Schizosaccharomyces pombe: one gene and its partners. Changing the gene in region 2 together with the main gene of any one other region gives a genetic interaction. Each region holds a gene or a part of one and is shown on either strand. Other genes may lie near its edges. The genes, in order: jmj2, mpc1, gcn20 and php3.

The links.
Region 1: mutations in mpc1 (region 2) and jmj2 together harm fitness less than expected from each alone (positive genetic interaction), as found in Schizosaccharomyces pombe (one large-scale study listed by BioGRID).
Region 3: mutations in mpc1 (region 2) and gcn20 together harm fitness more than expected from each alone (negative genetic interaction), as found in Schizosaccharomyces pombe (one large-scale study listed by BioGRID).
Region 4: mutations in mpc1 (region 2) and php3 together harm fitness more than expected from each alone (negative genetic interaction), as found in Schizosaccharomyces pombe (one large-scale study listed by BioGRID).

Annotation. Positions count from the first base shown.
Region 1 is NC_003424.3:1,803,202-1,811,787, forward strand, and holds jmj2 (histone demethylase Jmj2), read right to left. Parts: upstream 3,597-8,586; coding exon 1,449-3,596; 3' UTR 1,347-1,448; downstream 1-1,346. Other genes in the region: transcription factor TFIID complex subunit Taf11, read right to left, coding at 572-1,171; bouquet formation protein Bqt2, read right to left, coding at 4,069-4,201, 4,282-4,441, 4,517-4,580; SPOM_SPAC1002.07C (N-acetyltransferase Ats1), read right to left, coding at 5,041-5,175, 5,227-5,337, 5,429-5,459, 5,506-5,540, 5,599-5,717, 5,965-6,040; RNA polymerase-specificity factor Mtf1, read right to left, coding at 6,822-7,922.
Region 2 is NC_003421.2:198,563-206,235, forward strand, and holds mpc1 (protein mpc1), read left to right. Parts: upstream 1-1,539; 5' UTR 1,540-1,567; coding exon 1,568-1,569; intron 1,570-1,609; coding exon 1,610-1,714; intron 1,715-1,802; coding exon 1,803-1,897; intron 1,898-2,080; coding exon 2,081-2,121; intron 2,122-2,187; coding exon 2,188-2,282; intron 2,283-2,337; coding exon 2,338-2,425; 3' UTR 2,426-3,063; downstream 3,064-7,673. Other genes in the region: sec6 (exocyst complex subunit Exo3), read right to left, coding at 1-268, 343-408, 467-571, 634-661, 717-754; mug146 (protein mug46), read right to left, coding at 3,210-4,145; plasma membrane glucose/fructose:proton symporter Ght6, read left to right, coding at 6,171-7,673. UniProt on the Schizosaccharomyces pombe protein: Mediates the uptake of pyruvate into mitochondria.
Region 3 is NC_003423.3:2,051,728-2,060,315, forward strand, and holds gcn20 (AAA family ATPase Gcn20), read right to left. Parts: upstream 4,716-8,588; 5' UTR 4,698-4,715; coding exon 2,487-4,697; 3' UTR 2,414-2,486; downstream 1-2,413. Other genes in the region: atp14 (F1-ATPase subunit H), read right to left, coding at 5,371-5,394, 5,441-5,631, 5,684-5,719, 5,768-5,813, 5,861-5,875; ort1 (carboxylic acid transporter), read right to left, coding at 6,536-7,429; rps902 (40S ribosomal protein uS4), read left to right, coding at 8,065-8,588.
Region 4 is NC_003424.3:2,142,364-2,149,550, reverse strand, and holds php3 (CCAAT-binding factor complex subunit Php3), read right to left. Parts: upstream 3,871-7,187; coding exon 3,772-3,870; intron 3,625-3,771; coding exon 3,564-3,624; intron 3,509-3,563; coding exon 3,381-3,508; intron 3,226-3,380; coding exon 3,163-3,225; downstream 1-3,162. Other genes in the region: alanine--tRNA (Ala) ligase Ala1, read right to left, coding at 1-2,349; SPOM_SPAC23C11.07 (uncharacterized protein), read right to left, coding at 4,325-4,657; SPOM_SPAC23C11.06C (hydrolase), read left to right, coding at 6,260-7,187. UniProt on the Schizosaccharomyces pombe protein: Belongs to a complex that binds to the sequence CCAAT located upstream of genes involved in mitochondrial electron transport.

The DNA of each region.
Region 1 (8,586 bases), on a different chromosome or scaffold from region 2:
ATGAAAAATATAAAACTGAATATCGTGAAGGATGGTTCAAACATTGCTGAGAATTACATCGCTATCGAGGTATAAACAAGCACAATTGTCAATAAAACAGCTTGAAAGATAAATATAAATGAGAAAGAAAGTATTTCAAACACGAAAAAATATAACGTTCATACCATTATTATTATTTTGCTGTACTTTCAGCAGTAGATTTTATTACGAAATATGCTTGGACAACAGCAATTAACATATTACTAATTACAAAGAGCAACAGCAAATGGCCTTTAGAAACATTCAATAAAGAAAGATCCATTAAATTTATATTAACATTCTGTAATTTTATCAACTATATTGTTCATTAACATACAGTTGTGACATATCACTAGCAATTGTTTGGCAGTTGTAGCTGGACAAAATAAAAATAATGTACAAATGATAGGGGTAATTTGTCTTCATTTTAATGTATGAAAAATGTAAATCCCTAACCCATGCTTTTAAAGAATAAGGCATATCATGAAAAAATTAGAAGGGAAGAAAAACCGGTGATAGATACACTAAGAGCCTAGGTATGTGTTTTCTAAATTCACCGAAACAAATGACTAACATGACGGCTCTGTGGATAAAGCCTCCGATTTTGACGTGATAATCTATACGCCTCTCGTAAATGATCAGGACTCAGTGGACCAGTATCCCCCCATTGATCTTGAATCTTTCGAGCTAATTCAACGATTTCTCCAACAAACACCTTTGAAAATCCTGAGATCACAATAGCAACATTGGGGGTTACACTTTGGTTTAAAATTTGGTTAGCCAATTTTTTAACATTGGTTTTATTTAAGTTAGCACGACGAAACACTTCGTATCTTTGCATTTGCTCTTCATCAAAACTCTCTAGAAGATATTTTGTGCGCAATTTTTCATTAGCTTCGTCGTCCGTTTCACCAGGTTTTCCAGCAACTTTTGAAATAGCAGCTGTACCAAAGTCATCCCTATCGTCTTCTTCCAGATCATTTTCTTCTTGCCGATTCCAATTCTCTTTTTCTTTTGATGAGGGAGCAGGCTCAGCAGCAGGCGATGCCGTATTTGCCTTTGCATGAGCTCCTGCTGTAGGAGAATTAGATTGATCGTAGCTCATCGATCGCTGAAATCGAGGTACTGAACTCGCAGAACCAGTTCGTTTCATATTTATCCCTTCTATCTTCAAAAAACTGAAGAGCTCTAAATGTTTAAAAATTGGGTTTGATTTTGTTATGCAAAGTGAGAATGTACAAGAAGTAAATTTCACAGGTTGGAAACTGCTTCATACATAAGCAAGTACACTACGCTTCCTTAAACGTACAATACTATGATTATAGTCAAATTGTTTACATTACATGAATCCAACGATGTTTGTAAATGACCTTGAAAATATAGGTTTATAAATTGCAAAATAATTGTTTTAGAAAAGAATAAATGTAACTTTAATAACTTAGCAACTTCTGTAACTCATTATCGTCGACTTTTAGGCGTAAGGTCTTATTGCTTAAATCGCACTTGCAAAGATATTCGATGTGTAATGGACATACAGTAATCGACTTGCAAGAACAAGCAACTTGAGAGAAGTATGAAAATGCTTTGCAATGCTGGCATTGCCAATTTTCGGCATCCTCCATTAATTCACGATAAAGTATTTCCTTTAAATCATAGCGTCCTCGTATCATGATACGTATACCTAATTCACGTTTGACAGCCTCATGCACCCAAGGCCTTAGCTCAGACACACTTATCTCTGACGCCGGATTTGTCGCTAAATTGTAAACCAACATATCATGTGAAAGTACAGGAGGTTTAAGAAGTGACTGATATTTCAAAACGCCATTCAAAGAGAATCCGTTTAGTAACCAATCTTTGGGAGCAAAATTCACTGCCTCATTAATGTTAAACCCATGATTAATTCCTGCGTGAAAGCTTTTTGGAAAGGTAATCACGAATTCATTAGGCCCCTGGTCGATGAAATAAACATCGACACCTCTTTTTTGTAGCTCATCAGGGTTGATCATTGTAGCTAATTGGTAAAGCAGATCTTTTTGTTTTTTTACCAAATCAGGAGCAATATCAAGAGCGGCGCGTTCAAACCTCTCGGCTTGATCACCTGGAATTCCATACCATAATTTTGTGTCTCCATAATGTTGATAATTTACGGAATAAGTATAGTTATCCTCGACATGCCAACAAAAAGTTGAAAAACACATTCCAACGTACAGCCACGGACAGGTTATACCTGAAACAGGATTATCTATATAGCTTAATAGAGAACCATTTGTGGATGCTATAACATTTAAATTCCATGTGTCCTTAGAGTAAGGATTCACTGGATTTTTGGCTAAACTAGGGAAGGCGCTGCCCTGATCAAGGGTTGATAAATCTGCACCGTATTCCACTTCAAGGCTTGTATTATTGTCTTTTACGAGTTTCCAATACTCTTTTTCAACAATATCCTCAGTTATCTCCGAGTCTTTAAATTTAGAAAAATAATTTTTCTTAAAATTGTCACAGTATTTTTCAAAGTTCGATAAAGTATAATAATTCCCTGTTTCAAACCCAAACTCATATGGATTAATTATACATTTAGTACAATACGCTTCTTTACACGTATCTTCGACTTCACAATTGACAGGTTTGTGACAATTGTCACATAAGTGGTTGTTATTCGTTGACAGAGAGCTCAATCGTCGCTTTTTATTATGTGAGTGATTATCATTTGATCCAAAATTATCGGCTGGCATATATTGTTGTTTAATCTGCTCATTTCTCTTGGATTCTTGGTTTTGAAGAATTCCTACGGACTCATTAGTTTCGGGGTTAAATTGTTTAGATGTCTTCTGATCTTTAATACTAATATTAGAATGTTCGTCTTTTGTAAAAAATTTAGGGAAGAGATCAGTTTCAAAGCATTGATCCTCAGAGGTCTGATATTTTCTGACGAAATCCTCAAATGGAAAAATATACCTTAAATACAAGTCACTTGCTTCCTTTAATGATGCATTAGTAAAAGGAATTGAAAGTTCTCGTAAAATCCTTTTCCATACATGAACTTTTAATTCCTTCTCACTTAGAGATGCATGAGAATCAATACAACGCATTAAGCTGTATAAGTCGATAGACGTATTGGAAATAAAAAATGATTCCGGGAGCTCCATGCCCAGATTGCAAAAAAAACGGTAAACGCGTTCATCGTAAGAGACTATTTCACGAAATCGAAGATCCATCATATGCAAATCCTGCCGCCGAGTACGGAAGGAAAACTTGTTCATGTCAAGTTGCATCGGTGGATTCCAACCAGCAGGAGGAACGATTTTTATGATACCATATTTTTCACCGATTGGAGCTATCTTATTAATATAACCGATAGAGTCCTGAAATTCCTCTTTATCAGGATAAAAAACGGGAGCAACTGGAAGTCCATGAATGGATTTGGAACGCTGTTTTCTTTGTCCGGTATTTTTTGACATAGAGGATAAGTTATTTCCCCGCGTATTCATCCCATGAGGTGCAGGTTTTAGTTTATCTGTAGCATGAGTGTATTGTACAAAAGATGGGGAAGTTTGATGAAAAGTAGACTTGCTCATGTTTCCTATGCAAATAAGTAGATAAATTAGTCCGAATGGTGAGCGATTCCAGAAAAAAAAAGTTATTATAAAAAGAATTAAAAAATAGAGAATAAAAAAGAAACGAAACGTAAATGAGAAATAATAAATGGAAACAACAGTTTTTAAACTCGGACTTAGATGAAGTAAGTTTTTTATGTTTATGCAATGTATACTTGTTCAATTGTCCATTGAAAAGACGTAAGTGTCTTTATGGGATATAAATAAAGAAATTAGGTAAAATTCGAAAATAATCTTAGGCTAATAGCATAAATAGGCATTAAATTAATATTCGTAACGTATGGTTAAGTGAAGGTTGTGACAACTTCAGTTGACGATTTTGAGAGCTAAAGGAACGATCATTAAATTATAAAGGATAGAAAAAGGAAAGGTATTTTTCACAATTAGCATAGAATTTACAATCGGAACAACGCCATATCAGCACCAAAGCATTTCAAGGTAATTCACCGTTTAGAAAAGAAAGCGTGGATGGCAGAGGCTGTAGATACACTGAACGTATTCTGTGATCAACATATAAAGGTTCCATCACGTTCAAATGAATGACAGGTTCAGAAACGTAACTTTTGCTAATAATGGTGGTTAGTACTTGCCTTGGTAAATGATAAGATAAACTATCAATGCAATATTTAGTAAATTTAATAAATACCTTCTGGAAACAGCTACTTGCTCCGCAATCCACCAAGGAGAACGACATTGAACTGATTTGTAATTTGGCAAGCGGACGTGCTTTCTTAGATGCATTGAAAATGCATAATCAAAATTTTCATAACCTTCTGCTAAAAATTTCGCTTCTCCGTTGTGTAATTCTATCTTTAGTAAGAACAACTGAACCATAAATCATTCGACAACAAACAAGTGCACATCAAACCTTTAAAACTTACGCCATAAAGCAATTAATGCAGAAGGTACGGTTTCATCAAAAAAGGCGCACTTTCCTTGAAACATTGACAGGCAAACTGTTGTAGGTAGTTGGTTTGTTTACAATTGCGCGCGACGCGTTTCGAAAAAGAAACACAATAAAAGATATTCAAGAATACTAACCAATACTTTCTTTCTATTTTTTAATACACAATAAGAAGCCGATTTGATGAATTGAAAGGAAAACGATCAAATTAGTTTTATAGGAATTAACATTAGAACAATATACCAGTTCTAATAATTTACTTTGCAAAAAAAAGGATTCTTTATTTTTTAATTTTAAAAAATGTAAGATGTAAATTGATATCGTATTTTTTGGTAAACGGGAAATAACCTAAAGACATTGAAATGACCGCTTTAAAACGAAACTACAAGATCCAGGATCTTTCAATCATAAAAAATTAATTTTCCTCTTTCCAGTTCAAGGTTTCAAAGGTATAACATATCATGCTTCAATTTTTTAGAGCGTTAAGTATTGGGTATGAGTTTAAAAGTTGCCGGGAAGTTTATCAGCAAGAGCCTTTAGGTTCTCGCCGGTGACTCTCATCATACTCCATCCTCCAACTTTTTGTGCTCCAGCCTTTTCATAGACTTCAATGGCTCTCTGGTTCCAATCAAGGACCTAGGGTATTAGTCAAGGTATAAAAAAAGAAATGGGTTATAAACAACTTACAACCCAGTCAAGACGTCTGCCACCAATTCTAAGTGATTCTCGTGCTAAATAAGACAGTAAGTAGCTTCCATATCCTTTTCCACGGAATTGGGGTCGAACATATAAGTCCTCCTAAGAAATTGAATGGTTAAAATCTTGCTATGAAATCAAAAGTTAATCCTTCAATAAAAAGGTTATGAAGGACAATATGATAAGAACATACTAAATAAATCCCCACTCTGCTAGTCCACGTGCTATTCAACGTCAGCTCATATATTTCAAAACGGAACTTTTCACTACCTAAAATTTAGGAAATATATAGCCATTCCTGCGGGCTGATGGCAATTATAGATTAGTAAAAAAGATCAAGCAAGTTTACTTTTTTTTACGAACCTGATCATTTTCTTCGATGAATACTCCATATGCCACAGGAGTAACCTCGTCAATAAATCCAAATGCAACTTCTAAATTCGGAATTGTCGCTTCCACTTGATCTTCACATTTTTCAAATTCTTCATAAACAAAATGTTAAAACCGGTTTTTAAATAGTAACACAAACTGATCTGATAGCATGCGGACAGAAGTAGAGATCGACCCTGCTGACGAAAACCATATATTCTCAAATCCATATAAAAAGCTTAAGAGTAATCTCCAATTCAATAAGAGAATCAGACCCTGTGAGTCTGGGATACTGGCAAAAGCTCTAGCCTTTTAATAGAATCTACACGACTTCGTCCTCTTGGTCATAACGGCGCTTACCTGCCAATTCTTTAATAAACTGATAAACGGTCGGAAGATCTTCTTTAATGACAGAGCGAATGCGAACTGAACCCATGTTTTGAATTAATTGGTTTACTTGGTGTGCAGTGCTAACAGTAAATAATATGCGTGGCCTAATGGTAGTTTATTGTCTAGCGCACTTTAAACTGATGAGATCTCATCATATTATTTTTGGAATGCCAAATACGGGTAGAAACTAATCTAGTATGTTCCATTTACCTTTTTATGTTTGGGAATGAATAATCCGCTTTTCTACTGAACGATTATTAAATACTACCTTGAAAGCTAAAGCAACTCATAATAATGAAACATTAATTCAGTAAACAATTTAATAAACAGCATGGTATAATAAAGAATATTATAATAGTTTTTCGAAGTTATGGTATTTGTATTAATTAACATCTAAAAAAGTTGAAAGATGTAAACTTCCATTTAAAATAGCTCAGTTAAATCCATATTGCATTTATGCACTTTCCAAAAAAAAAATGATACCTGAGACTATGAGAGACATAAAAGAACGTAAAACAAGCCTGAACGGAAGCTATCCACTTAAATTGAATAAATTAGTAATAGATTAAGCAAGCATAAGTTATTTTAAATATGGTGATTAGAATGAACGCGTGTCTCAACGCAAACAAATCCTTTAATGATGTAGCGAATATGGCACAGGCAAATAAATGAAATACAGTGGCCTCAGAACGCAATGAGTAGAACATGAAGTGGAGAAATGATAAAAAAGAGAGTGGTTTTAAAAAACCAAAATTACTGGATGCAAAGAAATGCGTGTATGAACAAAAACAATCAATACGTTTGTTTCCCCCAATTTTCTGTAAATTTTATGAATCTTCAATTATTGTACCCAAATGTAAATGATGTTTGAAAGGATATTTTTGTATAATTTTTGAAATGGTAAGAAAGTCGGCTGCACTCAATAGTCCAACGGGCATATCGATGTTAATCCCACATTGGGTGAAGGAGGGTAATAGAGTTTCCGCACCTGGGCCTAAATAATAAATGGATTTTGAAAGTGATGTTGCTTTACATGTCAACAGTATCCTAACAATGCTTTCAAACACTGGAATAGACAATTGTTTATCTTGTGGTTTGGAGCACATTTCAACCAAAGTAAGGTCCTCTTTATGCGGTTCACTAGTAATTGGCGTGGGTGAAACTAATAAAGGATTTGGAGAAATTTGATAATTCTCCTTGGCCTCTTTACTATACCCCATACATAATTTTTGCAATGTTGACTCGGAGGCAGCTAATACACGAGAGTCTGTAAAGGCCTCTCGGAAAACTGATGTCTTGGATCTTTTTGAAAATCCCCTACTTCCAAGAAGAGTAACAGTAGGAGAACAGGGCAACCATAGCAATACACGAACTCTTCCAAAAATGCCAAGCCAATCCCTTGCCGAGAGAAAGTCTAAAATTTGAGAAACAAATAATAACCCGGCATAACCATGAGGAAGATGAGCAAAAAATAAAAGTTCGCGATGTGGTGATAACTTCTGCTCCTCTTCTGTTTGAATACGAGGATCCAAAACCTTCGAAACGTACACATCTTCGTAAGTTTGCCAATAATAACCATCTTGATGCACCCACTTAATCCTTCCATCAGAAAGCGTACACAATTTTTGTAAAGGTTTGGAAAAAACTTCCCGTGATTCTAGCACAACGTGACTTTTAGGTTGGAAGTAATTGAACAGCGAAGTGGTAGTCACTCCCGGTCCCGGTGCCATTTCTAAAATAGTCATTTTCTCCGAGTTGTATTCCTTAAGCAGATTGCTTTTCACAAGCGCTTCATCCATCAAATTCTGATTCACAAGATACGATGACTTATACGAAGAACGACCGTTTAGGTTTAATATCTTAACAAACCCCGTGGATCTTGGTCCTCCAAATGCAGCTGCGTCATATAAAATTTTAGGAAGCTTCATATTGATTATTTTAGCAATTGATTACTTTCTGCATAATTCGTATAAACAGTCCAAGATTGGTCAAATGACCTGTGATATATTCAATAACGAAAAATTGAAGACATTAATTTTTTTTCTAATTTTAAAAAAAGATGTCACCTTTACGCTTGCTTTCTTTTTCTGTTCATTTAAATGTGGTTAAACAACACATTCATATGCGCATTGTTCAGTCTAAAACATCACCATGTGCAAGTTTATTTAATGCTCGGCTTTAGTTAATTCATTCATAAACATTAACGAAGCCCATCAATTTTACGCAATACGAATTATGTATCCTGGTCAAATACGGTATTTCCAAGTAAACAAAACTATAGAAGTTATAGAAACTTTGAATAAACGTGTAATGTTGAATTAACTGGAAAAGAACGATGTTTTTCAAGTAAGGAAAACTGTTAACTACTCAACGCAAAGTAGAATAATACAATTTTTTACTTTTTGAACCAGTCATGCGAGCTGTCTATGATGATTAATTAATGGTAATAGCAATTGAAAAAAAAAATATTCAATCTCCAAGTTATAGCGCAACAATTGGATTGTGAAACTACCGCTTTAATGATGATATCTGTCACAACCGTAAGAACTGGATAATTGTAATTATTGGGAGCTAAATTCAGTTCATAACTTT
Region 2 (7,673 bases):
CTTCAAGGGATGCCTGGTATAGGGCTTCTTCACGGAATTCTCGAAGCTTAGAAAGTTTATAATGGGCGCGTAACAAATTTGGCATATCAGAGTCAAGTTCTAAATCTTCACGCAACATGTCTTCTATTACATCTGTCTCCTTGACTAAATTATTTAACTGCGATATCATTTGTTTTGTTGCATAACAATTTTTGTATATCCGAGACATGCGACTGATTAACGGAAATTCATCGACCATCTCGCGTGCACTCTCACATAAAGTCAACATCTAAAAAAAAATCAACATTAGTAAAAAAGTCTTTTAGAAAATGTCAAGAAAGCTTAAGCTTCGACTTTACTCACGTTATGCAATTCCTGAAGAAGCTTCACTCTTTTCGTTTGAGCATCATGCAGTGCCAATTTCCCCAACTAAAGACGTAAGTTAGATCAATTACAATTATCGCATTAATTTAATATTTGTGCTAACCTCAACGGCTTCCACGTGCTTTTCGAGCTCCGTTTTCACATGCATATTAAGAGACGCTTGCTCGCGTTCAAATCGCTCAATATGAGTAGATAATCGATGAAAATCCTAAAATCATCAATTGTTAGCTTTCGATCTTAATTCCAAGCATCCTAACAAGGACCACTTACCTCACATTGTCTAAGAATATCCGCTACCCTGACAAAGTTAGAGTAATCGTTTCATAAATGGTATTTTGATAAATAATCCTTACTTGTTATAGACAGCATCATCCGATGCGGCAGCGGTCATTTTCTTAAAGTTATAAGCAGACCTAGTGCTTACAAACGTTTCTATTTACTGACAGATTGATTAATATATTTACGGACTGGTTGTAAAGGCAGGCAGCTTTAAAGCATTGCAATTCATTTCCGTAAAACAAATAATTCTCTCGTCAAACTTCCTTAACTAATTTAAGAAGTTTGTACAGCATAAATTTTAATATCAAATTCACACTCGTAATAAGGTGTAAGGAAAATATTCGCATTGCTCTATTTTTATAATATTTAAATGATAGATTGATAGAATAGTATAGATCTGAGCAAGGGTTTAAATGAGTATTTAGCCAAATTTTTTGTTTTTGTTATCCAAAAATAGTTAGCATACCTTTTTACAAAAATTTAAATAATTGGTCCTGTTCGAATTTACCTATAGTGTTCAAATCGTCTACGAGGCTCATTTAAGTAATAATATATACTTTGTCTCGAAATCATCCTTCTTCCCTATAATCCCAGAAATCAGTATACTTCTTAATTGACAAAAAATCAACAGGAATTTCTTTTCTTTTAACATCCAATTAATAAAGCTCATAATGTGAATTAATGGATTACGTAAAGCTTCGGTATCTGATTTCTTCAAAAAGTGAGATTTTTTCCTGATAAAGTAAAAAATATATATATAATAGATTATTTGTTATATAATCTTCCAATATTCATCAACTGATTGAGGTATAAACATTAAGAGACTGTAGCTAATCTCCGATTTTTCTGCTCCACTAATAGGATAATAAGCTAGTAATTTGAAGCCTTTGGCAAGCCAACCACAGCCTATATTATTTTTTTAAAAATGTATGTCACTAAAAAAAACAGTTTTAACATTTTTTTGTAGGAATGCATCAGAAAAGTTGAGCCAAAAGGCTGCTCAGTCGGTCACAAGAAGGTTTATTACCTGGTTGAAAAGCCCTGATTTCAGAAAATATTTATGTAGTACTCAGTAAGTAGATGGAAAGGTTTAAAGATTGCTATCTCTCGTTTTTTTTATATTATTTATGGTTTAAAAGATTTCTTTGCTAATAAGATAGCTTCTGGGGTCCGTTGTCGAATTTTGGAATTCCTATTGCTGCTATTTTGGATTTGAAAAAGGATCCCAGGCTTATTTCTGGGCGCATGACAGGTGGTATGTGTTAAAAAATAGTCATATCAATAACTTGGCCATGACAATGCGGTTTTGGGGAAGCTCTTTTAGAGATTGGAGTTAGTTTCCTTTTTTCCGCTGATCGTGGTTATCTCTGTTGTCAATGCAGTTATCGAGATGACTTTCTGTATCGTTTAAAAGTTGCTTTTTTGTTAATCTCCTTAGCACTTATTCTCTATTCCAGCGTCTTTATGCGTTATGCCTGGGTATGTTTTGAATCATCTTACTCCTTTCTCCAATATTTGATAGAACTTTTACTAACTAGCGTTTAGATGGTAAGCCCACGTAACTATTTATTACTCGGATGCCATGCCTTTAATACCACTGTTCAAACGGCACAAGGAATTCGTTTCGTCAACTTTTGGTAGTATGTGTATTGAGACTTTGTTATTCTATTGTTTACTAACGACTTATTTAATTAGTGGCAAAGAAGGTGCTTCTAAACAATCTGTTTTCGAGAACATCATGCAAGCAGCCAAACATCCTGAAAGTGGCACTCGTCAAAAGTGAAAAGGGTCAAGTATTTATTCTTTAAAATACGAGTGAACGGATAAGTCACTTGCTCTAACAAAATTGATTCGAAGGAAGGGTATAAATAAGCAAACCTGAGAAATATGTGTTATCGGTTTATTACTTGCTCTAATATAGGAAAAATTCATTTTTCCTATTTAGTTTAGGATTTGCAAATTTTGAAGTCCGTCATTATTTTGTTAATGTACATTCTTTTTTCTTTTTACAAAATGTCTTTTTCTATTTTACTGGTCCGAGACGTCGTATCCTTGTTTTTTGTGGAAGCACAACTAAATTGTTTTGATAATATCAACAATATGTTTTCAGGCAAAAGTTGTCACGTGGAACGATATTTTTATGATTGTGGCTTCTAGTATTCTGTACTTCTTAATACAAAATATTAACACTATTATATGGTAGCACCATGGCGTACTAGTTTTCTGATTTGTCGGTTACTGAATATTTATTGAATATATTGATAACGGTAAAGTCACTTTTTAAAAGAGCAAGTTCAGTTACACAATCTAGCTTTTACTAGGAAAAGTAGTTTCAATTACTTTTTTAATTAATTTTGTGTAATATTCCGATATATTAGATGTTAGGCTTAAAAGAAATCGAAAATACTAACAATTAGGGAGGTCATTAGTGAAAAAGAAAATTAAACAAAATATAAACGATCAACGGTAATACGTGATCACAAAATTGAAGGTCAAAGCATTTCATCACCAAAATTTTTAAAGTTAGGTGAACATGATCGGGAAGTTCAGAATAGCTTTCACATATTTTACACCAGAACGCCAAATGCTTGTAATTCTATTTTTATTTTATCAAAAAATGCTTCATTGACAGAGTTTGTAGACACCGTATCTGAGTATTTACGGATGGCTGTTTGTAAATCCGTAAGCAAGAATTCCAAACGTAGCAACAATAATGAAGGATCCTCTGATGATTCTTCATTGATATTTTTCCAAATTTTTTCAAGATGAGAGATGTGCTCCTTATGCACGATTTGTTGATCAATGCCGTTATCTTTTGTGTTGTTTAAGAGCTCTTTTAAAATGTTGAAATTTTTCTCAAAGTCTGCACAAACAATTTTGTCATTATCCATTGGATCTATAGAAGACCAATCGGTCTGAATTTTATTCTGATTAAACATACACAAGGAAGTTAAATCGGTTTGCTTATATAACGAATTTGAAGCTGAAGAGCATGTCTCGGAAGCACTATCTCCAAAATATGTGGAAGAATCAGTATCGGAATCGCACTTTAAAGAATAGCGATCGCTTCCACTTTGCTCATTAAAATAAAATCTCTTAGAGCAAGTTTGGTCATCAAGGTGAGATTCGAAATTTAGTTGCTTGTTTACATTTTCGGAGTAGTTAATGTCAATAGCGTGTTTCTCACAAAACGAGACAGAACCCAGCGTTTGGGAATTATGTACATTTTGCTTTCCTAGAACTGAAGAAGATCTATTGGAAAAGAAAATATAATGGAGCAACTGCTTGAATTTATGGGTACGGGTGTTTCGAACGCTAGATGAATTTTCAGAAGAGCTTAAAAAATGTGTCAGTTTGCACTGAACTTCACTCAGTCTGTTAGTGTTTTCGTTACTGAAGAATTCCAAAGAAGGGGTAGCGGAGGTCAAGGTGCGATAGGTATGTACACGTTCCTTCCTCACTTGTGTAGTTGGATAATCAACGAAAGTGTTTTTACAGATCATAGTGGGCAAAATTATTGAGTCCGAAAAAAAATAATGAATAAAAGTAGATCCGACAAAAAGCTGGCAAAAAGAGTTAACAAAAATATTCCCACTTTGTTTTATTAGATTATGTGTATGAAAAAATAATGCAGAAACCTCAAGGATATGTATAGAACTGTATCACCAAAAGAATCATATAATAGTCATGCTTTAAGCCTCTTCAGTCTCTTAAAATAGACCTCTTTCTTCAATCAAGCGAAGAACAGTAATTTTAGCGTCTGTAAACTCCACCTACTGAGATTTCAACTTACGATCTAATATTTACTCAACAATTTGTAAAGTCACTTAGTAGTCATTCGTTCGTCTCGGGCGCAATTCTAAACCACTTCCCGGAACTTACGCCTCTTTGGATTGTGATGAAATTACACAAAACTCCAATCATGCTGATTCATGGTTGAGACAGGATGACTGAATGAGATGACCTTTCTGACATTTTCGCTAGTTCATTTGAGACAGTCCGATGACGGATGGAACTTTGAGTCAAAGGAAAGGTTTCTCATGTATCTCTTTTTCTTCATTAATTAATTACAAACTCATCTCTTTAATTGCCAACAATTCACACGATAATAGCATGAAAATTCAATGGTCACTAGAAAGTTAATATTAAAACAATCATTATTTGCTAACAACTTCTGTCTTCAGTTTGCTACCTGATATCGTTTAACAGTAATTCTGGGGTAAAAGGGGCTGTAAGGCGGTGAATTATTTTATTGGCTCAAATTTTTAATCATTTATTATAAACTACTTTGATTTGCAAATTTGGGCCAATAGTCTAAAGCTTTTTCTTAGGAGATTTAACGATAAGGTCAATCCACCAATCATTTTTTGCTAAACTACGTTTTGAGATATATTAAACTTGAACGTTTTTGCACTAAGTGCGGGGTTATAATTGATGAATTAGCTAGTTGTCTGGTAATGACAGAATATGACAGTCAACATCTGAACAGAAAACGATTAGGAGGCTTAAAAAAGATGCCATTTATTTTGTATATAAAGGGTAAAATTCAAACACTCTTCCTTCCATTAATAATTTGAAGCTTACTTGTAACAGCCACAAGGATATTTCTCATATTGATTTATACTAATAAGAGAAGTACCCTTTATCCCTCCCTATTTGAGTATTGCAGCCGTTTGATAATCATTTAAAATACGATTCCTTCGTTCCGCTTATTTTGTTTTCTATCATTTTTATAGGAAATCCTCCTTGAACATTTTTTTGATTTCGCTGGTCCCGCTGTATATCTCTTGACTTTTGTCTTTTGTGATTTTTTGATATTAAATACTTTCCTCCTCGATTTTCAACTCCGCTATTACTGTCTCTTTTAAATTCTTTCCCTTTCTTCCTTTTAATCTTCAAAACAAAAATACTTTCTCTCTTTTTCTATTAAAAGAGTGAATTACTATTTTCGTTTGTTTACATCCCATTTTTCTCCACATTATTGACACTGTTTGTTTGTTTTTTACTCCAACATCCGATAGTGACAAGCCCCCTTTTTGATTAATCGTCGAATTTTTTGGAACATTGAGCGATTATCCTTATTGTTTGTTTACATAATTTGTTGACTTTGGTGTTTGTTTATTAACCAATTTTTTTCCTATAAAAGCGGTCCTCACCTCGGTACTTTTCTTCTTTCTCTATATTATATCTTTTGAGATTTTCTATACAGACTCTTTTAACTTGGGAAATAAAGACTATCCTTTCATTCCTTAAAGAAAAAAAGTCCTTTCTCTTCGGTATTCTTATTCTCTGTATTCTTATAAGGTTTATATACATATAGCGTTGTATTATTAAATACCAAGGATTCTCTATACTTACTCTTCTATTCTTTCCTTCTTTCTCTAATATTACTACATCGTTGCGATTAATATATTTATAAAAGCAACCCGGAAATTTTCTTTTTTTTCTTTTACTTAATCAGGACTAAAGAATTTTCTCATTTGGTCATTACTTTTTCTTTTTAAAAAAACTAGCATTTATTAAGAACAATGGCGAAAATCTTAACCATTGTCATGTTGGTCTTCGTGTCCATGGCCGGATGGATGTTCGGTGCTGACACGGGTTCCATTGGTGGTATCACTAATATGCGGGACTTTCAATCTCGATACGCAGACAGGTATGATCCTGTCACAGATACGTATTCGTATTCTTCTGCTCGCCAAGGTCTTTTGGTTGGTATGGTTAACACTGGAACTACTGTTGGATGTTTACTTTCTTCACCTCTTGGAGATCGATTCGGTAAACGTAAGTGTATCATGGGATGGACATTGGTTTACATTACCGGTGTTATCGTTCAACTCACCACAATTCCATCTTGGGTTCAAATGATGGTAGCTAAAATTTGGACTGGTCTTGGCATTGGTGCTTTGTCAGTCATTGCTCCTGGTTACCAATCCGAATCTTCTCCCCCCCATATTCGTGGTGCCATTGTAACTACTTATCAATTGTTCATTACTCTTGGTATTTTTATTGCCGCCTGTATCAACATGGGTACTCACAAATACACCACTCATCCTGAAGCTCAATGGCGTGTTCCCATCGGTATTAACTTACTTTGGGGTATTCTCATGTTCTTTGGAATGCTTTTCCTCCCTGAATCCCCACGTTACCTTGCAGTTAAAGGAAGAAATGAAGAATGTATGAAAATTCTTACTCGTAATGCTGGCCTCCCAGCCGATCATCCCATCATGCAAAAAGAATACAATGCCATTCAAGCTGACGTTGAGGCAGAATTGGCTGGTGGTCCTTGCTCCTGGCCTCAGATCTTTAGCAACGAAATTCGTTACAGAACACTTTTGGGAATGGGTGTCATGGCATTCCAACAATTGACCGGTAACAATTACTTCTTCTACTATGGTACTCAGGTATTCCGCGGTACTGGCTTGAACTCCCCCTTCCTCGCAGCTTTGATTCTTGATGCTGTCAACTTTGGATGTACGTTTGGTGCTATCTTTGTTCTTGAATACTTTGGTCGTCGTGGTCCCCTCATCGTTGGTGGTGTTTGGCAATCTATTTGTTTCTTTATTTATGCTTCTGTAGGTGATCGTGCACTTACCCGCCCCAATGGTACTTCGAATCATCGTGCTGGTGCCGTTATGATTGTGTTCTCATGTCTTTTCATTTTCAGTTTTGCTCAAACTTGGGCTCCTGCCGCATACGTTATCGTTGGTGAATCGTATCCCATTCGTTATCGTTCCAAGTGTGCTGCCGTCGCTACTGCTAGCAACTGGTTCTGGAACTTTATGATTTCCTTCTTCACTCCCTTTATTAGCAACTCAATTGGTTTCAAGTATGGTTATGTGTTTGCAGCTTGCAACTTGTGTGCCGCTATTATTATTTTCCTATTCGCCAAGGAAACCAAAGGTCTTACCTTGGAAGAGATTAACCAACTTTATTTGTCGAATATTAAGCCCTGGAACACTGGTGCTTACCAGCGTGATCGGGAAGATATTAAGCAAAGCGACTCAGAAAAGGAGCGTGGACCTACTTCT
Region 3 (8,588 bases), on a different chromosome or scaffold from region 2:
CTAATAATTTTAACTAATGAAGCTAGCTATATTCATTATGATAAGCAGGAACTAAGTATTTAAAAAAGTAAATAATGTTGTACAAAAACGAAATAAACCAACTAACGTTAAAGTACGAAATTAATTGACTCATCTATAACCGTTCTTTATTTTTTTTATTTTTTCAATGAATAAAGCTATTGGCATTGATTGCTAATCTGGTTTGATATATGATATACATATTTTTCTTTTTGAAGTATTGAACAATTCTTTTTACGCTTCTAGTAGATTAATTACCATTTACTCTTTTTTTAAAAAAAATAAATAAATAAATAAATAAATAAAATTTTGTATATTCAAGTGGTTTCTGCTCATTAGCCTAATTCGCAAATAACTCTAGTTTAACATAAAATTTAACTTGACGAAATGCGAAAAATGTCTTGTACGACAAAATTTCAAGAGTTAGGATTGAGAGAAGAATTAAAAAACAATAGAACAATAAAACTATTGCACGTAACCCCTAAAACTTGTTGAAATTGGCAATGTTGATTAAATACCTATATCTGAATTAATTTACGAGAGAAAAAAACCTAAACGAAAGATTAATAAAAGCGCATATTTAAGGAAAAATTTTTCTATGAATAATTTCTCTTTTCATCCATTAATCGCCTTCTTGACCCATTTCTTCTCTTGTATTTACATTTTCATCTTAAGTAACACGTCACCTACATCAAGCATCCAGGTAGTCATCGTGGCAAGCATGAATTTGCTCTTTCCCCATATTCGCTACTGAGGTGTGCAGCCCTTCCGCGGCGTCATTGGAACTTCCACTGGGCCGGAAAGGCAAGAAGGATAATTACGGTTTTTAACGTTGAATACGCAAATATTTATAACGAAACGGTGGTTGAGAACTCGTAAATTGAATGAAGAAAATTTGATAAAGGTCGATAAATTTATTTAGCGATAATTTAACGATTTTACCGAGTTAACAAATTAAAGATTTTAATTATTTTTTAATATATTTGTATAAGTGAACAAATAGGTTTGCTTCGCCGTCTTTTTCAACTTGTCGGAAACAAACAATTATCTGGAATTTTTTTTTACTCGCACTTAGATTCTCCGCGTTTTATACGCATATACTAACAAGGAAAGGAATTTAGCTAATCGATAGATTCTGGACCTTTCCTTCTTTGAAACACATTTTCCCCCGTTGAATTGGTTTTGTTTACATTCAAATAAGGTAAAAGCACTCTTCCAATTGAAGACTATAGAGCTCTAATTCGATCGTTTTCTTTGAAATTTTTAAAAATTACTATCATATGAGCGATGTATTCTTTAAAAGATTTGTGCATCCAAGTCGCGCAGAAGCATGTGCACGACATCGATGATATTGGCGATTGCCCATTCGAACTCGTAAAACCTATCCTGGAAAAAGCTAGACCAGAACATTTAATAGACTTGGAAGAAAAGTCGCCTCATTTGAAAGTTGACACTCAACCATTGTGGAAAGATCACGTTTTGCGTGATTTTGGATTAGAACTTCAAAAACGAACTATATTGAACAATATTGATGATTGGAGAGGGCTCTACGGAAAACTTAAGAAAAAAAGAAATGCTCATTATAACGTTGCTTCTGCTAAGCTTCGAAGTGCTTACACCAAGCTAGAGCAAAGTAAACAAAACAAGCGAATTGTTCCTTTAGAGCGTGAGCCTAGAGCTGCTCGGCCTCCTAAGCGTCCGCGTCCCATGAGTAATTATTGTCCAAAAAGTTCTCTAATGGCGAGAGCTAAAAGTGATTTTCTCAAAAAGGCTCTGCTACCCGTCATATTGTTTCAGCTACTTCATCCTCTCGGAGCTTTCCCCAATTGCATCCCCTTGGACGTTCTTCTTCTAACGCTACTAATACTTCTACAAAGCGTCCTTTAACCTCTAATACCTATCCGTCCATTCCTCTTCCTCCAAAGTCTTTCACCTCTCAGAATTTTAAATCGTTCAACGCCGTCAAAACTCAACCTTCATCTTCCTCCTCTCCATCAATCTCTCGCCCTACGTCTTTTCCCATGTCCTTTTTTCCAAATCCTTCGAGGTTTTCTAGTCAAGTTCCTAAACGAATTTAATGAGTTAACTTTTTCCTTTCTCTTTCTTTTTTTGTTTACTAGTCTGTATATTCTTTTTTTTTCTGCTATTGATTTCCTTGGTCCGCCTTATTTTCTCCTCTTCTCCCCTTCCTCCTCTTTACTTTTTAATTGATTGGGTTTGTTCTCTTTATTTTTTGGGTGTTGGTTGATGATTTGCATGCTTTCCAGGTTTCTTGTCCATTACCGTGTTATGACTTACTTAGCTATAATTAATTTACTGTTTTAATCTTATTTAACACTTCATGTCTTTTACTGTATAAAATGTAGTTAACTTCGTTTACATATTTTATCCAGATTCATAGATAAAAGAATTTGATTTTATTTATCCTCGCCAGCTATATTATTATTATTTAAGTCTATGCTATTCCATTAAGTTTTTATAGTCATGGTTGGCTGTTGAGATAGACAGAATTTCTTATATTGTGAAATTGTTCCATCAAACTTGGAGACGACATTATGGTCACACTGCCAAATACTGGTACATGTCTTGTCCAAGAAATCAACATCGTGAGAAACAAGAATCACACCACCTTGGAAGCGTTTAACAGCTCTTGTCAAGGCATCCATGGACTCCATATCCAGATGGTTGGTGGGTTCATCTAGAATAAGAATGTGAGGGTTTTGTAGACCTAGGCATGCGAACGCAACACGAGATTTCTGACCACCAGAAAGCGTGATCATTTTTTGCAATGCAAGAGGTCCACTAACACCAAAAGCGCCAAGATGACGACGGTATTCTTCTTCACCTTTGCCAGGAAATGTCTTAGCTAAAAAGCTTAAGGCATTCAAGTTTAAGTCCAAAGTATCGACATGATGTTGTGCAAAGTATGCAATACGAAGTCGGGGGTGCCGACTAACTATACCAGATGTTGGATGAAGTTGTTCGATAAGAAGCTTAAGCATTGTTGATTTACCAGCACCGTTGGGACCAACCACACCGATACGAGAATCCATTTGAACATCAATATCAACATGTTTGAGAATAGGGTGACCTGGAACATACTCAAAATTGACATCAGACATTTGTAAGATAGGAGGAGATATTTTTTCCACAGGTGGAAATTCAAACTCAACTTCTTCCTCAGTTTGAGGCTTTTCAAGGATCGGCAGTTTTTCCAACTTCTTAATACGACTTTGTGCTTCGGATGATTTGGCAGCATTATAACGAAATTTGTCAATGAATGATTGCAAATGTTTGCGGTATTCCATTTGCTTTTCATATTCACGAAGTTGATTTTTGCAACGTTCTTCACGAGTAGCATAGAATTGACTAAAATTACCCTTATAGTAATCCAAGCGCTCAGAGTGTTGATGAATAATATCAGTAGCAACTTCATTCAAGAAAGAACGATCGTGTGAAACGACTAAAACGATATTTTTATAAGTTTGTAAATATTCAGATAAGAAAGCAATTGAGGGAACGTCAAGCATGTTCGAAGGTTCATCCAAAAGTAGTAAATCTGGTTGACAAAACAGAGCACGTGCCAATGACAAACGCATACGCCAACCACCTGAAAAAGTCTTGGTAGCATGGCTTTGCATTTCTTGAGTAAATCCAAGACCAGCTAAAATAGTAGCAGCGCGTGATTCTGCTCTATCAGAGTCCATCTCGGAAAGCTTATTTTGAATATCTAACAACCGTAAATCAAGTTCGTCTCGTTCACGCTCAAGGCGACGGGAAATAGCTTGATCAGCAGTTTGGTCTTTACTAAGTTCTTCCAATTCTTTTTCAATCGTTGATAGACGATTAGTTATCTTTTCCTGGTCCTGAATCAAATACTTGCGCCAAACATCGGCATCCAAAACTGACTGTAGGGCAGGTGTATCATCACCTGTCATTTCTTGCTCAACATGAAGAATGGTAATATGGGTAGGAATCGCAATTTCACGGCGAGAAAGAGCACGTAGAAGAGTAGATTTACCGATACCGTTGCGACCAGTTAAACCGTATCGTCTACCCTGTGCAAGTGTCAACGAAGCACCAGTCAATATACGATGACCAGCAAAAGCAAGATCAATTCCATCAATTTTAATATCTTTCGATTTTCCTTGGTTACTTCCGGATAAATCTAGAGGATTTACAGCCATGTAAAACTCTTCATAAGACTTTTGTTCGGGTTGAACCAACTTTGAAGATTCGTATTCTGCTTTGATAGTACGTTTCTCCCATTTGGCACGAATCTTCCGTTCAGCCTTCTCTAATTTTCTTCTATCTACCCTAGATTCAACCTTACGGCCCTTTACAGCATCTAATTCCATCTTTTCGCCAACCAAACCCATAGTTGACGAAATTTCGGATTGGGAATCCATTCGAATAGTCTCCTTCAAACGAACAAGTCCATTCGTTTGTAATGTATCTAGATGTTCCTCTCTTTCTTTAAATTGTTTCTCTAGTTCGTTTTGTATGAGCTGTACCGCTTCCTCACGAGCGCCAGCATCTAGCAATAAATTACGAATGAGAGAGATCGTATGGTCTGAAGCCTCATCTACATCTTTAATAGCATCATTAGCATATCCAGTGCAGTAGCTGAGGACATGAGGGTCTACTTCAGAGCAATTATTCTGAATGACTTGCTCCATGTTGGATGTGAGGTGGATAGTACTAAGCAAGTTATACTACTGCTATATATGAAGCCTCAATCGGCAAAACGATGAGACTAGGCATGAAAATATACTAAATACCTTATAATAGTGAATTATATATTTTTTTAAGAAAAAAAATTACAATTCCAAGAAAACTACTGTGAACTTTACTGATATTTTTAATGACCCACAGTAGACATCAAATTTTATCAAGCTAATCCTTATTGTTGAATAAAAGCAATTGTATTGAGTTGATATAAATTGAAAAAAAAAATCCAAATGTGAACTCAATAGAAATACTTTGCAAAGAGAAAAACATCTCAACTCAATGAAAGTGGTTTTCTATCAATCAAGGCAACAACTGTTTCGTGCCGTAATCGAAGAGACGACTAAGCATTGAATTCAGCTATGTTCAAAGACATTTAGAAAGCAGAAAAAGGATACGTTAACCTAGAATATAAATCATAGTGAGACGGGAGTTATAGAGATACATCCACGTTCGTGGTCAATCAAAAGAAGGATCAGACAAAGGCATGAAATAGATATAAAATCAAATCTCAACGACGTAGATGAAAATGTAAATTCATAATCGGAAAATAAAAGGCAAAATTTAATCAAAGTTAATTACCAAACATCTTCCAATTGAGCATAGGAAAAGCAGTGAATAAATTTAATGTTCTTTTTCATTCTCATACTGAAGGAAAAGTTAGCTGATGCAATGTAAAGGAAGAGATACATACTGATTCAAGAAAGTCAAATTTGTTGCTTTCTCCAGCAGCCTTAGTGGGAATGGTTTCTCCCTCATACTTGTAAGAGTTTAAAGCAGAAGTAAAGTCAACATCGTATTTTGGAGCAGTAGGAGCGCTAGGCATGGACCATTCCTTTACTTCAGCTGCCGTTTCGGAAGGGACAGCTTTAGGCTTATATGATTCTAAGACACGACGTGTAAGAAATTGGTAAATTAAGAGAATATAATAACATACTTAAAGAAGAAATATATAAACCCTGTACTACATCGACTAAATTGCCATTAGTAATCTCATCAAAATCAAAATGTCATTTCATACCGTAAAGACGAGGGGAGGTGGTCGAATAACTACGACTTAGTGATTTCTATATATTAGCTCCTAAATTCTTAAAAAAAGCAATGTATAACGTACCAAAATTCGAGACATTGTTCTTCCTTCACAATATATGTGGATGGTAGTGGTAACTCACTTAGGTAGCATGTATTGAGTAAGAAAGCCAGCATTGTCCGAAAGTACATTAAACATACTAAATCTAATAGCTAAAGTTTTAAATGCCCAAATAAACAATCGCTGAAATAGAAGGACTATTAGTCTCAAAAATTTCATCCAATTTACACCTCTACCAAAAATCTACAAAACAAAATTCAACTATACAAGAAAAAAAAGCGTAGGTACATACAGATATTGAAAGAGTTGGATTAACCAAAACAGGACGTAAAAAGCAAAACAAAACAAAAAAAAACAGGGAAAAGAGGAAAAGAAAATATACTTTCAGATTGAAACGGTTAACTCGTGAAATGTATAACAAGTTCAGTGGAATTACTGTCAAACTAACAGCAGCACATGATATGAAAAGTGATGAGAGGGGAGTTTTTGAAGGTAAAAATGCTTTTAATAAAAAATAAATAGCATCAAAAAAATTGTAAAAGTATTCCATGGGACTTTAAATATATACGACAAAACCAGTTCTAAAATGTGATTAAACTTCAACCGCAAGTCGAATGCAAGTTAAAATATGTATAGAAATGCATTCCGACGGGTTATCGACTCAATGGACAACAAAGACTTCGTAAAACTAGAATAAAACTATTTGCTTAATACTTTAGTTTCCCGAAATAATTCAAAAAGCGTAAAATTGCAAGAATTTATAAGAGCGCTTCGCATCAATGAAATACCTATACCTCGATATATAGTAAACGATAACCAAGGAATGGAAGACAAAGGGGTTTTAATTGATAAGAGTGTATTTCTTTGTACAATGGATTTGGCTGTATCCACCGGGAATACCAAAATCCAAGACAAAGCGCCGCAAAAAGCACCAGAGAAGGCATAAGCAAAATGCGGCTTCACATCATTCGCTATCAGATTTTTCTTAAAGGTTTCGTATATTGTAAAATAACAAGCCGATCCTAGAGCGTCTCTGGTTAGATGATAACGATACCCATTCCATAATGCAGTAAATCCATACCTCCGAACAATGTCAGAAGCGCTCTGGAAAGATGACAAGGGAGGTCTGACACTTAGCTTGGAATTTGTCTCTTGCCGACGGCCCATATTTGTTTTGCGAAGAAGCATGTCAATTTGTGAATATAACTTTGAATACTCGAATGGACAAGCAAAAAGTGATATAAAAGTACCAGTCCCAAGCCCGGAAATGAAATACCGAAGTGTAGGATCCACATGAGCAAATGTAAGTTTTAAGGAATCATACACCGTAAATGATACTGACCTCGATAGAGTGGCTGATATCAATGGTAGAGTAAGACCACGATACAAACCTTTTAATCCCTCGTTTTTAACAGCGTTTTGGAAACAAGAGCGAATGGTTGGGAAATTGTAAGTTTGCTGTCGAACTTTAATCGAGTCAAGAGGATACCCAATAACATTGCTAATGGCAGAAGAAACCAGAGCAGCGGAAAAGGTAGATGCGGGAGAGCCCGAGTGTGCTTTATGGGGCTGGTTATGAACTGGTAAACCCATTTTTTGATCAATCCTTCAGAAATAAAATAGAGAGAAATGAGAGAAGAAAATAAAGATCAATATTCTAGCAAAAATAGATTTTTCGACTTATCTAAACAAATGAAGTAATCGAAATCCTCTTTCTTTATGTAAGTACGTATATGTACGTCTAAATTGTATGTATAGTCTAAAGTATTCAGAAGTTCACCACCCATGTAAGATGAACTACTAAAAAAAAACTTGTTTTTTATATTTTGAAACTCGAAAAAAAGTAAAATCGTCAATAATTATGATCAATTTCAGAGAAAAACCAAAAAAGAGACAGTAACAGCACAACACTCACAGGATTGTGCAATTAATATCTTCAAATAGAGTTTAATACGCACTCACAAGATACAGTGTATCCCTTACATATGTGATCTTCTATTTTAGAAAAAATAAACAACACCTTCTATTTACAAATCTAACTTCTGCTTTTCCTTCACAAGGATATAAGCTAGAGGGTTAGTAGGAATAGTGTGTAGTAAGGATATCGGTACGGGATGGTGATGGGACAAAACCCTAACCTAATACTACAGTATCTCAAAAAGCCGTCACTGTTGTGCCTTCTTGAAAATACATAGCAAAGGTAGGTTGCGCAAAGCACCAAACAAACAATGCCTTCTGCTCCTCGTAAGCAATCCAAGACTTACAAGGTTCCTCGTCGTCCCTTCGAGTCGGCCCGTCTAGATGCCGAGCTCAAGCTTGCTGGTGAATATGGTTTGAGAAATAAGCATGAAATTTGGCGTGTAGCACTTACCCTTTCTAAAATCCGTCGTGCTGCTCGTGAGCTTTTGACCCTTGACGAGAAGGATCCTAAGCGTCTTTTCGAGGGAAATGCCATCATTCGTCGTCTTGTTCGTTTGGGCATTTTGGATGAGTCCCGTATGAAGCTTGATTATGTGTTGGCTCTCCGTATCGAGGACTTTTTGGAGCGTCGTTTGCAAACTCAAGTCTTTAAGCTTGGTTTGGCTAAGTCCATCCATCATGCACGTGTGTTGATCTTCCAACGTCACATCCGTGTTGGTAAGCAAATTGTCAATGTTCCTTCCTTCGTTGTCCGTTTGGATGCCCAAAAGCATATCGACTTTGCTCTTTCCTCTCCATATGGTGGTGGTCGCCCTGGTCGCTGCAAGAGAAA
Region 4 (7,187 bases), on a different chromosome or scaffold from region 2:
AGGCATTTTCTCTAATTTGGCAATGCGAGCATCAAATTCGTTAGCAAGACGAGAAACGCGATTGGCTTCAGTTGATGTTACAGCGACAATACGACGAATACCCTTTGCAATACCATTTTCTTCTAAAATGACAAAGTCTTTAATCTCACCACTTTTATCACAATGAGTACCACCGCAAAATTCAATACTATATTTAGTCCAATCAGGTTTCTTTGGTTCTTGCAAAAGTGTATCTATATCAACACCAATACAAACGACACGAACAGGATCGGGATAAACTTCACCAAAAACAGCACGCAATCCATTAATTTCTTTGGCTTTGCTCAAAGCAACTTCCTTTGAATACACGGACAAGTTGTCTTGAATTACGTTGTTACAATAATTCTCAACTAAGAGAAGCTTATCAATAGGAATTGAGGACTTGTACGAAAAATCAAATCGCAGCTTTTCTTGTGAAACCAAAGAACCACGTTGGTCAATACCGTCACCAAGGGTGTTACGAAGAGCAAGATTAAGAATATGAGTAACGGTATGATTGTTCATCAAATGCCAGCGACGAATTTCATCATATTCGCAAACAACCGAATCATTAACCGTGAGATTCCCATATTCTAGAAATCCAGTATGAAGTACATATCCAGCGTAGACTTGCACATTGGTGACTCTAAAGTCAGCAACACCATCTATAACAATGTGACCAGTATCATATTCTTGACCACCTTGCTCGGCATAAAAATTAGTTCGATCAAGCAACAACCCGAGCTGCTCACCAGAGTTGAACCCCTCAGTACTTTTTTGAAATCCGCCCTTGTGATATATGCCTTTTATAACTGACTTCAATGATACAGAGTTATGCTTAAAAACATCATCAGTCTCTGGGATATCATCCATTTTAGAAAGTGCACCGAGTGCATGAACATCCAGCACCAGAAGATCATCTCCTGAAGAACCACCTTTGGAAGCTTGCTTGCTGATTTCCTTAGATCGAGCTTGAGCAGCTTCAAAACCGGGTTCATCGATTTTGATACCTGCCTCCTCAGCCATTAAATGAGTTAAATCAACAGGAAACCCATAGGTTTCATAAAGCCTCCATACGTCATTACCTTGTAGTGTTTTTGAAGGAGTCTTTTTAGCGGCGGCAGCATATTGCTCAAACATCTTCTCACCACGATCCAAAGTTCTAGAGAAAGACTCTTCTTCCTCATCAAGTAGTTCCCGGACGTCGTCTACCTTTCTCTTAAGTTCAGGGAAGAAATCCCCCATTTGTTCAACTACAGTTAAAGAAAGTCTAGAAAAGAAATTTCCAATTGGCACGCCGAATTTTTTACGTACATAACGGGCACCACGGCGTAAAATACGACGCAAAACATAGCCTCGGCCTTCATTGTTCGGCACACCACCATCACTAATAGCAAAAGTTAGGGTACGAACATGATCGGCCACAACACGGTATGCAGTATCGATACCATCTACATCTTCATCACCCATTTTGCCGGTATAAGGTCGGGCATTGGTGAGCTCTTGAATTTTAGCAAAAATAGGTGAAAAGACATCAGTATCATAATTGGAGGTTTTATTTTGAATAACCGACACAAGACGTTCAAATCCCATACCAGTATCAACGTGGCGATTGGGAAGGGGACGAAGTGAACCATCCTTTTCACGGTTAAATTGGATGAAAACAATATTCCAAATTTCTAAAACATTCGGATCATCCATGTTGACAAGCTCTGGGACAGTCCGATTTCCAATTCTGTCATAATGGATTTCCGAACAAGGGCCACATGGACCTTGATCACCCATTTCCCAAAAGTTGTCTTTCAAACTTCCAGGAATCACGCGGGATTCATCGATACCAATGTCAAGCCATAGTTGACGAGCCTCCAAATCAGGCTCCAAACCAGATTCCTCATGGCCACCAAAGTATGTAACATACAACTGATCTTTCTTAAGACCGTAAACGTTGGTAAGTAGGTCCCAGGCCATTGCGATAGCTTCTTTTTTAAAGTAATCGCCGAAAGACCAATTACCCAACATTTCAAACATAGTATGATGATAGTTGTCTTTACCAACGTCCTCCAAATCATTGTGTTTTCCACCAGCACGAATGCATTTTTGAGAATCACAAGCGCGTTTTAATTTAGCGAAATCACTAGAAGGATCAACAGTTCCCAGGAAAATGGGTTTAAACTGGTTCATACCAGCGTTCGCAAAAAGTAAGGTAGGGTCATCGTAAGGAATTACAGAAGAGCTAGGAACAATAGTATGTCCGTGATCTTCAAAGTACTTCAAAAACGTACGCCTGATCTCATTGGCAGGCCAATTAACTACCTCTGATTCGGCGGTCATGAGGTCTCTGCGGTGTAGTGTAGGTAAAGGATAAGAAGGAGTGTGGGTTGAAATTTTTAAGCGCGCAAACAATGAAGACTTAGTATTGATAACGCTTTGATGTGTTAATCGAAACTTATTACGGCAATTTAAATTAGTTATTTTAGATAAACAGATGGGAAACGAGGCACGAATCCCTAACATACGAAGTTGGTGGAATCTATTAGAATCGGTGGACGGAAAATGACCCTGGTATTATATAGCCGTACGCTGAGAAGGTAATTTACATACTAGCTACAGCAGGATTAAACACTTTCCTGACAATAAGAAAATTTATTGATTGATACGTATATGACTACGGAAACATCGGCTAATCCTTCCATGAACCGAATGACTATATGTGTCTTATGCTGATTTCGGTGAAATAGACGAAATGAGTAAAAATAAAAATGAAATGCTATTTTTTTCAAAATAATATATAGGTTAACAGTAGCAGGATTAACAAAATGAAAAAGTAAGCAAAAGCGAATGAGGGATAATCACAATAATACACTTTAAGTAAACAGGCAATAGTAATTGCTAAATTTATACTGACGACATTAAGGAAGTTTTAAATATGAACAGGCCATTTTGGCAATATAGTGCTTATCTTTGAAACTTGGTTAAAGTAGAAATTAACATAGTTCGTAAATTAGCATCATTTGTAAGATAAACAGAGATAAAACAGGAGAGTACAAAAAGAGAGAGGAATAACAAATAAGGCGATCGACGATCGCTGCAAAAGTCAGGAAATATTTCAGGGAAAACCCCGCTAATGCAAAATATATAAGGAAATTACTGAGGCTCTTCGGACCGGCTTTGTTTAGTTTCTTTCATGCTAGCAGATCTTGCTTGTTGCTAGAGTAGATGTTAGAAAAGTGACTATGAGAATGAAATTTTGGTATGAGTGAATGAATTGTTGCGCCTTCATTGCTTGAGACAATTTAAATCTCTAAGCCAACAAGGAAGTAGAAGTACACGTATCACCATTCAAATAAAGAATTTTTCCTTACCTCTCTGTATTTGGTGAGAGAAATCTTTAAAACTTCGGCATAATTTTCGAACCCAAGGGTATTTAAAGCCAATAAAACATCTTCACCAGTAATTGTCTTTCTCTTTTCTTGAGTGCATTGTTCAGATGCTATTATATGGTCAGTAAATAACTATACATGAGGCTTTTGCTATTGATTCCATACCTTCACCAGTAACAAAGGAAATAAACTCACTAACGCAATCTTGGACGCAGTCTTTAGCTTCCTAAAAAGTCAGACATTAGCACTGCAACATGAAAATTACAAAACAAAAGAGAAGAACGCACTCACAGCGACCTACTCCGTCACTAGCAATCAATCAATCGAAGAGACTGACAATGCGATTTTTCTCAATTCAACAAATCATGCATACCTTGGAAATCTTGGCGTTTTCGGGAAGTGCCGATTTCATGATACGCGCGACATTTGCAATTGGTAGGAGATTGGTGTAATCCAACCCGTCTGCGCTCATGATAATTAAATGTATCTTTTACTTGTATAATTTAATTTTGGCGAGCAGAGAAACCTCAAATAACGAAAATAAGTACACAAACCCCGCTAAAATTGGTTTGACTACTAGCAAGCACGATCCTTGACAAAAATCGACAGCTGATAACCTATTCTCGAGCCTTTGTGGAGGGAACTAAAAAGAAATCCAATAATTCAGCAGGAGATGAAGATCCTAAAAGACGAACAAATCAAATAAAAAGAAATGACCTCCTTTTGAGCAATGAACGAGGGTAATGGCTTAACGTTAACTTTCTGCTTCTTCACAAAAGAAAGTAAACGTCTATCTACTTCCAATAGGGAAAGAAATCAGTAGTTGGTTATTGCGATAAAGAAACACTATGTTATTGCAAAAGAAACAGCAATTTGTTTCTACAGGTTGCAAGCAATTCGCAGACTGACTGTATCGGCCTATAATATTATTTAAATAGTGCAGTTGTAAAGTGGGAGATTAACAAGAGATACTGAATTCGAGTGGTACGATATATCGGTTTCCGACTGGGGCATCTAACTACTATTCCACCTACTCCAGCGGCGAGCAATACTGGATGGCTCTGAGCCTTCGACGGGGCTGCGCTATTTAGGTAAGTGGGGTGAAAGGCCGAAATGGGGGCCAAAAGACTTTCAAGTGGCGTATAAGGGAAACGAGCAAGACTTTTGGAAGCTTTAAGGTCCCAAGTGGGATGAAGGTGAAGGCGAGGCGTCTTCTCTTGAAGCCAAGGTTTCCCAGTAAAAAGAAAGTGGGATGCCATCTAATCCCTATGTCACTTTTACGCTGACAAAATAATCGTGATATACGTTAAACAAGAGGAAAGGAGAGACTAGCAAAAGAAGTGTTTTGTCATTCAAGCGACGATCCTTCATACAAAAAGCAAATAAATAAATCCTTTTATAAATATCATAAACATATCATTAGAAAACCAAGAAAAATAAATAATAATATGAATTAATTTAATTCAAAAAAAAAATATAAATATAAATATAAAAAAAGAGTAGAAGCGATTGTGGAAACTGACAGCGAAATAATTATGAGACATTTATTTTACAACTTACAGAGCAAATATTAAGTTCGTTTGAAATAGTTCACAATTGGTATTTACCGTTCACATCTGATAACTGAAGAGGAATTCAATGTTATTAAAATCGTGTTTGCGAAAAAGTTAATAAAAATAACCTAGCAAAGAAGATTCGTAGAAAAATGGAATAACAAGAAAGTAAATGTATCTTATGGCAAAACTGACAATCCAGTGTTTTTTTTTTCTACATTTCATTCATCTTCACTCTCCATTCGCACGCATACCTAAATATGTTCCCGTAGGGGAAAATTGCGTATACTGAATTGTTTTGTTCTACAACTCGCATCTACTCAACTATATTCCCTACTTGACTATACTTCTGCACTTCAAAAGTCATGTGTATCTATCCTAATCTTTATATTATACAGTGGAATGCACTATAAACCTAGTTGTATTTTTATTTCTCATTTCCTATACATCAATGATATATCAGATTAAAAGTTTGCTCCTCTTTCTATCCCATCTCACCCATCATCACTTGCAACATTGGCAAGGGTAATTGAAGGCGATGCGAGCTGTGTGTTGTCAAAAGAACGAATATGTTTTTTGCCTTTACCATCATTCCTACTCTTCCGTCCTCTCGACGTCACATAGAGTAATCGAGTGCATTACTAAAGGACACTTAACTAGTCTTATTTCCATACAACGCTGAGCCGCCCATTCATTACGTTTCCTCGACGCAGGCTAATTTACGTAGAACATAATGGCAGTTTATAATATATATGGCAAGTAGCCAGTGATGGTGAAGGGTCCGCAAAAGGATAGAACTTAACCAAGATTTCTTTACATAATAAATTCATTTGCCTACAATAGTTTGGTAGTCAAGCTATTGTTAAAAGAAAATTCAAAAGTATTGCAAAGACTTGTATTCATTGCAAATAATACTTTTTCAACAATTATCAAGTCAATTTCTATTTTTTTTTGTGGTAATTGTCTACTGCATAAACAGAAACATTTGATTTTTACCTAAAATTGTTTTATTGTCACATCTAGTTGTGACAAAATCGATTTCTCTGTTGTGATTATATATATTTTTGCTGGGATTTAAAAACAACAGTCCATCTTGTTTACGCCGTTACTCTAATTATAAATCCATATAGTTTTCGTTTCGTTTCGTTTCTTTATTCCCTTCTACTCAAATTCCCGTGATCCACTGTTTCTAGTGAAGAACGTTTCTTTTTCTTTTCTTTCCTTTCTATTTATCTTTAAAAAGAACCATCTTACTTCAGAACCATCCCCATTTGGTTACCGAGTAAAGAAAAATTAACGTAGAGAACCATGAATACTTCTCAAGACGTGAACGCAGAAGCTGCTAACGAAAGATCGGCTCTGCTGCCCAGGTTTCTGGGATCGCATAGAGGCAATGTTCCTGAAAACACTGATACGTATGCTTTGACACCTCTCTTTTATTGGATTCGTAGCACCTCGGTTGGATTACTGTTAATTACTATAATATGCCATCTATTTTTACTTCTTAATATTTTCATCTCCATCCCGATTATTAGCCATTTATCTCCGGGTTTTATGCCCGTTGGCTTCACCGCGCTAGCTGCCATTTTACTAGCCATGCAAATTATGTTTGTATACTCACCAAATGCGCCCGAAAGAGTTACACAACGAATCATTTGTTTCCTTTTAGCCATCGATGTTTTAGTCGTTTTTCTTAGCCCAATTCTTCGTCATAGAGAAGGATGGCGAAGCAACGCTTTCGTTCTTTGGGCTTTCTTAATGAGCCTATGGATTGTGATTACTGATCTTATGCTTTTCCGCCAATACAAGGAGGAACATCCGGACTACGATGCAATTGCACACCGTGGGTATTATTGGTCTTGGTCCCCATCAACGTGGCCTTGGAGACAAGTTGGCAGTCTTACTGCCTCTACGATATTATCCGTCATTTTGACCATCCTGACCATCCACACTCTCGTCACACTCATTATGCGTGCTTACGATGGAGCCCTTTCTGCTCCTGGTCAGTTGTATACCGTTACCGATAGTAAAGCAAGAGTCCATTTGGAATGCTTTGGAAGTTCTTCTTCCAACAACAAAACAACTGTTTTAGTAGAGGGTGGTGAGGTTTCAGTTCATCCTTTCAAAGAATGGCTCTTAAATCTTCAACATACCTCTCCTGATCTTTATGAGGAAAGTAAGGATTTCGAAGGTTATGAAAATGATGTTAAGCCTTACCTTTCACCTGATACACGTG